2 linked regions of the Cricetulus griseus genome follow. The protein of the gene in region 1 binds, or shares a complex with, the protein of each later gene. Links are inferred from orthologs where the notes say so. Each region holds a gene or a part of one and is shown in the gene's direction. Other genes may lie near its edges.

What was found. The genes of interacting proteins can lie anywhere in the genome.
Region 2: the proteins of Nog (region 1) and Bmp7 are in contact, whole or in part, in a crystal structure (PDB 1M4U), measured with the Homo sapiens proteins. The link is inferred for Cricetulus griseus from reciprocal best matches to the Homo sapiens genes NOG and BMP7. Residues at the interface, in NP_005441.1 of Homo sapiens: His29, Tyr30, Leu31, His32, Ile33, Arg34, Pro35, Ala36; in NP_001710.1 of Homo sapiens: Phe365, Pro366, Leu367, Asn368, Ser369, Asn375, Ile378, Val379.

The regions. Positions count from the first base shown.
Region 1 is NC_048600.1:102,462,500-102,466,858, reverse strand, and holds Nog (noggin), read left to right. Parts: upstream 1-1,408; coding exon 1,409-2,107; downstream 2,108-4,359. UniProt on the Homo sapiens protein: Inhibitor of bone morphogenetic proteins (BMP) signaling which is required for growth and patterning of the neural tube and somite. Essential for cartilage morphogenesis and joint formation.
Region 2 is NC_048599.1:6,375,454-6,379,437, forward strand, and holds the start of Bmp7 (bone morphogenetic protein 7), read left to right. Parts: upstream 1-1,184; coding exon 1,185-1,599; intron 1,600-3,984. UniProt on the Homo sapiens protein: Growth factor of the TGF-beta superfamily that plays important role in various biological processes, including embryogenesis, hematopoiesis, neurogenesis and skeletal morphogenesis.

The DNA.
Region 1 (4,359 bases):
TGTGTGTGTGTGTGTGTGTGTGTGTGTGTGTGTGTGTGTGTGTGTGTGTGTGTGTGTGTGTGTGTGTCTGTGTGTGTGTGTGTGTGTGTGTGTGTGTGTGTGTGTGTGTGTGTGTGTGTGTGTGTGTGGGGGAAGGGGACTTAAAATAAGCCCAAGAGAGAGGAAAAACAGAGACACACTAGGGAAAACGTTCCATGCACATGGAGAAATTTCTTTTGCTGGGAATTGCACTGAGAAACGAACCCCCCTACATACACACACACATCTCCCTGCTGCTTCACTCCCGATGCAAAGCACTCAGTGAGAGTCCTCCAGTCCCACCTCGACAACCCCACACCCCTCAACTCCAGCCCTGCACCCTCCAGCCTGGCTCCAGCGCCGCCGAGAGCTTTCCCCGGGACTGGCCCTGGCGGGGCGCCTAGAGCCCCATTGCATTGCTCCAGGAGAAAGGAGGGGGGCGGTGCATTTTGCAGGAGGAGGAGAACCGGGGTGGGGGGGTGGAATTGTGCGGAGACCTGCCAAGCGCCACCGCCGCCGCCGCCACCGCCGCTGCCGCGCCGCCGCCGCCGCCGCCTGTGAGCTCCGGCGGGCAGCCCGACTGTCGGCTTCCCGGGGCATCTGGGTCCGGCGGGGCACAGCCCTGGGCGCTGCCGGAGCCGCCACCGCCTTCGCGGCCAGTGCAGTCGCTTTCCCCTCGAGCCCGTGCGGCTCCGGCTCCTCGCGGGTGGAGGAGTGGGGGGTGGGGTTGTTGTTTGGGGGGAAGAAGGGGGAGGGGGCAACGCGGAGAGAGTCAGTGGTTTCCATGGTGATGGAGCTGAAAGTGCAGGAAATTTAAAGGCTTGGACCCTGCGAGACAGACAAACCGGTGCCAACGTGCGCGGACGCCGCCGCGCCGCCGCCGCCGCCGCCGCTGGAGTCCGCCGGGCAGAGCCGGCTGCGCAGCCCGGAGCAGGCGGAGGGAAGTGGCCCAGGACCCGCTCGACCCGAGGCGCCGCAAAGAGAGGCAGGACGCCGAGCGGCCGGAGGAGAAGGAGGAGGAGGAGGAGGAAAGAGGCTCGTCCACGCGCCCTGCGCCGCCGGCCGCCCGAGAGAGCAGCGAGGAGCCGGCGCCCCCAGCGCCCCACGGTCGCGCTGGAGTAATCTCGGATGCCCGGCCGCCGCCGCCGCCTTCCCAAGTAGAGCGGCGGGGGGGAGTTGCGACCAACTCGTGCGCGTCTTCTGCGCCGCGGCGGGAGCCGGCGCTGCGCGATCCGCTCTCCTCGCAGCTCATGCTGCCCGCCCTGCGCCTGCCCAGCCTCGGGTGAGCCGCCTCCGGAGGGACCCGGGAGCGCCGCAGCGCCGCGGGCTCGGCGTGCTCTCCTCCGGGGACGCGGGACGAAGAGGCAGCCCCGGGGCGCGCGCGGGAGGCATGGAGCGCTGCCCCAGCCTGGGGGTCACCCTCTACGCCCTGGTGGTGGTCCTGGGACTGCGGGCAGCACCAGCCGGCGGCCAGCACTATCTGCACATCCGCCCGGCGCCCAGCGACAACCTGCCCCTGGTGGACCTCATCGAACACCCGGACCCTATCTTTGACCCTAAGGAGAAGGATCTGAACGAGACGCTGCTGCGCTCGCTGCTCGGGGGCCACTACGACCCGGGCTTCATGGCCACTTCGCCCCCCGAGGACCGACCCGGAGGGGGCGGGGGACCGGCTGGGGGTGCCGAGGACCTGGCGGAGCTGGACCAGCTGCTGCGGCAGAGGCCGTCGGGGGCCATGCCGAGCGAGATCAAAGGGCTGGAGTTCTCTGAGGGCTTGGCCCAAGGCAAGAAGCAGCGCCTGAGCAAGAAGCTGAGGAGGAAGTTACAGATGTGGCTGTGGTCACAGACCTTCTGCCCGGTGCTGTACGCGTGGAATGACCTGGGCAGCCGCTTTTGGCCGCGCTACGTGAAGGTGGGCAGTTGCTTCAGCAAGCGCTCGTGCTCTGTGCCTGAGGGCATGGTGTGTAAGCCGTCCAAGTCTGTGCACCTCACTGTGCTGCGGTGGCGCTGTCAGCGGCGCGGGGGTCAGCGCTGCGGCTGGATTCCCATCCAGTACCCCATCATTTCCGAGTGTAAGTGTTCCTGCTAGAACTCGGGGGCCCCCTGCCCGCGCCCAGACACTTGATGGATCCCCATCAACGCCCCCACACCGCCTCCAACCAGTTCCACCACCCTCTAGCGAGGGTTTTCAATGAACTTTTTTTCTTCTTGGCTACAGAGACCCGGCTTTCTGGTTCATGTAATGCACTGTTTAACTGTGTAGGAATGTATATGTGTGTGTGTATATACGGTCCCAGTTTTAATTTACTTATTAAAAGGTCAGTATTATACGTCAAAAGTTACCGGCTTCTACTGTATTTAAAAAAAGCAAGCAAAAGAAAAAAAAAAGAACAGTGAAAAGAGAGACTTATTCTGGTTGTTGGTAATAATGTTAACCTGCTATTTATATCCCAGTGCCCTTCGCATGGCGAAGCAGGGGAGGGGGGAGTTATTTTTTCTTAAAAGTACAAAGAGAGGGGGAACTTTTGTAGAAGGACTTTTTAAAAAGCTATTTTCCATTCTTCGGAAAGTGTTTTGATTTTACTTAAACCTCGAAGAAGCTATAGAGTTCAATGTTATTTTACAGTTATTGTAAATATAGAGAACAAATGGAATGACTAATCATTGTAAATTAAGAGTATCTGCTATTTATTCTTTATAATATCCCGTGTAGTAAATAAGAAAGAAGTGCAGAACAGGATTAAAGAAAACCACTAAAACCGACTGGGCTCGACACTGTGATTCACTGTGTTGGTGATTGATGGGGGGCGGGGGGGGATGCCGCCGCGCTTACTATTCCTATTGGGAGACAAGCTCATCGTTCCGGACTCCCCTCCTGTGGGGTGATGAAGGTGACTGTAAAATTTTCAGGGGGGGGGGTGTTATTCTCAAACTCCATCTTTTAAGTATCCTGTGGCCTCCACGGAGTCTCCCTGGGTACCCTCCCCCGTGACACCAAAGCTCAGGCCTGTCGTGACCTCGACACCCAGCCGGCCCCCTGGAGCTGACCCCGGGCTGGGCCGATGAGGGAGGGAGGGAGGGGGGCGGCTGCTTTGTCCAGGCTGACAGGCCCTTCACAATGGGGACACGTGTCTTTCACACCTTCCCTGGGGGCGGAGTGCGGCTGAAACTTGACCCCCGAGGAATGGGGGGGATCAGAGCGCGCCCACCCAGATCCCGCCACCCCTCCCTCCTTGCACCCCCACCACAATATCCAGCCCCTGTTAACCCTTTGCATGCCCGGAAACTGCGGTGGTTAGTGCTAAAGCGACCCTTGAATTCAGCTACATACAACCTCAGGGATCCTGCAGGTCTGGAGCCCCTACAACCCAGGCCCACAGCTGACGTGGGAGAGATAATTTGGATATTTGACACTCACCTGGGCCTTTTCCAGGACCTAAGGAAGACTGAGGTCCTGAATTTCAGAGGGGTGTGAATTTGGGTACAAATCACTATCTCTGGGACCTGCAGTCGGGGAGGGGAACACGACCCCTCCCTAGGCACTTAACTCCACTTTGGGGGTTGAGAAGAAAGGAGAAATCAGAATGGGATCTTTACGCTTTAGGATTAGAGACAAAGTTACCCCTTTGAGATTCGGGCAAATATCACTGCACCCCACCCCTTAAAATTCCAGCTTCTTGGGACTGACTCTAGACTCTCGCGTGCATCCCTCCGCCTCAATCCCCAGTGGCGCCCATCCACACAGCTCCACGTGGGCCGGCTTCCTGACACCGCTCCCCGCTCCTTTTTATTTATCTTGGACTCCACAGTCGCTCTCCTTTGCTCCCTTCCCCACCCCCTTGCCACCTCGTCGCGCCTCCCTCCGGGCTCGGATCCTCCGCCCCCCCCCGCCCCCCAGCCCAGAGTAGCAGCGAATCTATGCTAATTATTTCAAACCTGCGCCTGGGTCCCCAGCTCAGTCTCAAAGCCCGGGGCCCCGCCCTCCCAGTCCCTCCAGCCCGGCGCTTTCTTCCCTCCCGACGCAGCCTCGGTGGCTCCTCATTTCAATAGCCTGGCTCGGGAGCCGGAGCCCCCTCCCCGGCGCTGCCTCCGTCAGTCGTGGGACAGACGTTAGGGTATTCATTAACTGGGAGCCGAGGAATAACGGCATTATTCCCCCCAGAGAGGGCACCCTGCCCCCGCGACTATCTGAGGCTTCATTGTAAAAGGATTAAAAGTTAAAGACCTCCATCTTATGATTCTTTCATTTAATCTTTCTGGCGCCTGGGAGACATGCTCGATGGATGATGGCTTTTAAAATATTCCTAATGTCGGCTACCTTAAGACTCCAAGCCGGGCAAA
Region 2 (3,984 bases), on another chromosome or scaffold:
TGTGTAAGACCATAGACTCTGTGTGTGTGTATGTGAGTGTTTGTGTATGTGTTTCGGGGAGTGACGTGTAGAAAATAAAATTAATGTCCGTAGTAGGGAAATAACCTTATCTCTACATTATCTCTGCCCGTCGTCCTGGAAGGTTCACAGAGGAAGTGGCACCTGAGGGGGGAGGGGCAGGGAAAGAACGTCCCCTGAGGAGGAATGGCCAGGGCAGCAGAGCTGGCAGCCGAGTGGGTGTGAAGAGGGGGCTCTGCATGACTGGAGCAAATGAAGTATTCCAGAAGGACGAGAGAAGAGCCAGGTCCAAGGGTGACCACCTCCGAGGAGCCTTCTCGGATTCCCGCGCTCCCTCCCTGGTACTTTCCGCCACAGCCCAAAGGTTCCCAAGTCTCACTTTGGCCACTTCCAAGTGCGAGTCCCGAGAGGGCAGGGCCGCCTCGGATTCCTCTCTCTGCACCCCTGCGGCGTCCGTCCAGGTACAGGACACATGGTGGGCACTCGGTAAATATTTGTAGAGCGCCCAGGGAGGAATGAATGAAGCCATTGGGCCAGGCGTGGGGAGGGCGGGGCCGGGCGCAGGTGGGAGGCCGCGGGAGCGGGAGGGGCGGGGAGGTCGGTCCTCCCGCTCCTCCTCCCCCTCCTCCCGGGCCCCAACGCGCACCACTCCGGGGCTCCCGAGGCGGCTGGAGGGCGATCCGTGGCGCGCAGGGCTGGAGTAGCGATCCGGGACCCCTATTCTGGGCGCGGGAAGTCGGGAGAGGGTCTGTCGCCGGTGCCCGCAGGCCTGGGCGCTACCCGAGCGAGAGGAGGGAGCGAGGGCTCGCCCGGCTCCCAGCCGCCTCCCCGGCACAAGCTCCCCGGACTCGAAGGTCTGCAGGCTGCTGCTCCTCCCACCCCGGCCCGCCTCCTCGCTCTTTCGCTAGCTCTCCCGAGCTGCTGTGCTAACACTGCGGTGCGTCCCGGCGAGTGCGGGCCGAGGGGCCCCGCGCCAGGGCTGAGCGGAGGACAGGGGGATCCCGGGCAGAGCGCAGCCGGCCGGGGAGTGGCCATGTGTGGCAAGGCCTCGGCGAAGCTCGTCTGCAGCAAGTGACCTCGCGTCGTGGACCGCTGCCCTGCCCCCTCTGCTGCCACCTGGGGCAGCGCGGGCACCGGTGCCCCGGATCGCGCGTAGAGCCGGCGCGATGCACGTGCGCTCGCTGCGCGCTGCGGCGCCACACAGCTTCGTGGCTCTCTGGGCGCCTCTGTTCTTACTGCGCTCCGCCCTAGCCGACTTCAGCCTGGACAACGAGGTGCACTCGAGCTTCATCCACCGGCGCCTCCGCAGCCAGGAGCGGCGGGAAATGCAGCGGGAGATCCTGTCCATCTTGGGCTTGCCCCATCGCCCGCGCCCGCACCTCCAGGGGAAGCATAACTCGGCGCCCATGTTCATGTTGGACCTGTACAACGCCATGGCGGTGGAGGAGAGTGGGCCCGACGGCCAGGGCTTCTCCTACCCCTACAAGGCCGTCTTCAGTACCCAGGGTCCCCCTTTAGCCAGCCTGCAGGACAGCCACTTCCTCACCGACGCCGACATGGTCATGAGCTTCGTCAACCTCGGTGAGTGGCGGTGGGAGGGGTATGCCTCAGAAGGGAGCAATTTGGGACAGGGAGAGAGAGGGTCTCTGCTTCCAGCCAGCGGGTCCACCTTCCCATTTGCAAAGTATCAGTGCCCGCCAGAGACTCCCGGACCGGGGTCTGTGCGTCCCCGGTGGGACTTGCCGGCTCAGCCGGTTCGTGGGAGCTACCCGGAGGGAAGGATCGGTTCTGAGTCTCTTTGCCGGCTCCGCCGCTGGTTGGGGAGGGCGGTGCGGGCCCGGCCGCGGCTCAGTTCAAAGCGCCCCGCTGGGTCATGTGAGCTGAACCGGCCACAGCGGCCCGCGCTACCTGGATTTAAAGGGCCCTTGTCGGCCAAGCTGCCTTCCCGCCCTTCTTTCGCTCCTCTGTGGCCAGTCTGGCTCTGGCATCGCGAGCATCCCTTCCCCTTCCCCGCTTTAGCCAGCCCTACCTGTCCCCTTGCGGTGCGCCTGTCTCGGCGCGCGCCCGGAGTGCCTTGGGGCTCCTCTCTCAGTCGCCGGGCCCCTACCTTTGGGCTCTTGTCTGGGGCCGAGGAAAGAACGTTGCCATTGCGAGCTTTCTATTTTAAATATTTAATGATAGGTCCCGGGCGGGCAGAATCCATTTTCAGCGTTTATCACGTGTGGCGCGCAAACCACGGGGTTTGGCGATTGGGTAGCTGGGGACCTCGGAGCAGAGGCCGCCACCGAGTGGCTAGGGAGCCCTCTTCCCTACAGGAGTCCCAGCCAACCAAGTGCTGCGAGGCTGGGTTGCGGCTGGTCCGGGACAGCTCCCCCTGCATCTGTGCGCTCACATGAGTCTAACTTGCTCAAACTAACCCCCGGCGGTGCGCTGTGGGGCTGATCATCAAATATTTGGTTTGGGTGATAACTCACCCTGATAGTGCTGCTTCCTGAACCGCTTTTATTCTGCTTGTGGAAGTTGCTTAGAAAACCCGAAGACACCAAACACCACGGCCGCTGTGTCAACTTGGAAATAATGAAGCTTGAAGGCCACCCCTCCCCCGCTGGGCACCTGGGGCGCGGAAGGGGTCTCACGTTAATCCTTCCAGCTCCAGATAAAGGCCCTGGAATCCCTGGGAGGCCATTGACTGCCTCTATTATTGGTCAAAAAAAAAAAAAATCAAACAATTAAACAGGGGTCATGGTGGGTGATAGAGATGCCAAAACAATATTAAACAAGTTTAAATTCCCCCTTAGACACTTGCTAAGAAGAGGCCCTGCTTTGGAACTGTCTCCAAGATATGAAGGTAGGAAAAAGCCCGTGACCCAAGAACTGCAGAGATTTTTCTGGGGTCAGGGCTTAGGGTGCTAGGCTGTGTTTCACTGTGTCAGTTTTTTTTTTTTTTTAAGCATGTAGATTTATTACCAAACACTAAAGAAGACTCCAAACAGCATGCTTAGCATTATGTGGTAAGCTCGGATGTGTGAAGCCATCCCAAAGCCAGGGTTAATAGGGTCCTTTCGCAGGCGTGAGGGTGGGGGCAGCCTCTGTTCTCTCCTCCTGTGATGTCCAGGAAAGGTCCTAACTGGTGATTCAGAGCCTTGCTGGGCTCATCAAGCAGCGATATATAATCCCTGACTCTGGTGGCAATGTCTGCTTCAGGTCAATCAGTGTGGCCCCAGCTGGCCTCGTGCATCCCAGAAGGCCAGGTGGCTCCCAGGGCGGCTCCCTGGGCCCTGCTGGGAACTTGGCGGGGGCGGTCTCTCCCCCCCTGGCCTTGGATACAAGCTGAGGCTTGCTGGGGAGGCCACAGCTGGGTAGCTTCCTCCGGCTGCACACACACCTTCCAGTCCATTCTTTCATGTTGAAAGGACAAAGACTGACTTGTCTGAGCCTCTTAGTCAGTGGGGCTGGCTTCGGGCTTTTGTGGGACCCTCCTGACTCTCGCAGGCCTGGCTTTCTGGACCATCACTTACAATTAGACAGCAGAGTGGCTTTTAACAGAACCCACGGACCTGGGTCCTGTTTTCTTTCTCTTTCTGTCCCTAACCTATAGGTAATTAGGGGAAGCCCCAGACTGCAGCTAAGAGCTTCCTGTAGGTGCATCTTTAATCTCTGTTGGGCCACAGGACAGGTATGAACCTCCTGCCTCTGCTGGTGTGATTTCTCCCTGGGAGCGACTTGGGGGTGGCGGATGGGTTGGAGAGGGGTGGTGTGACTGCAAACTTGTCCCCACTCTGAGTTTGCTGAGAAAGCTTAGTCGGACTGCCAGTCACGTGGGTCAGAAATAGACAAAGCATTAGAGAGCCAAGTTGACTCTTACCCCCCCCCCCCGCCCCAGGGAGAAAATATCCCTGGTTCCCATCAAGTCATCCCTTGTCACCGTTGCAGCCCTTGGTGTTGGTGCAGACTGGCTTCCCCAGC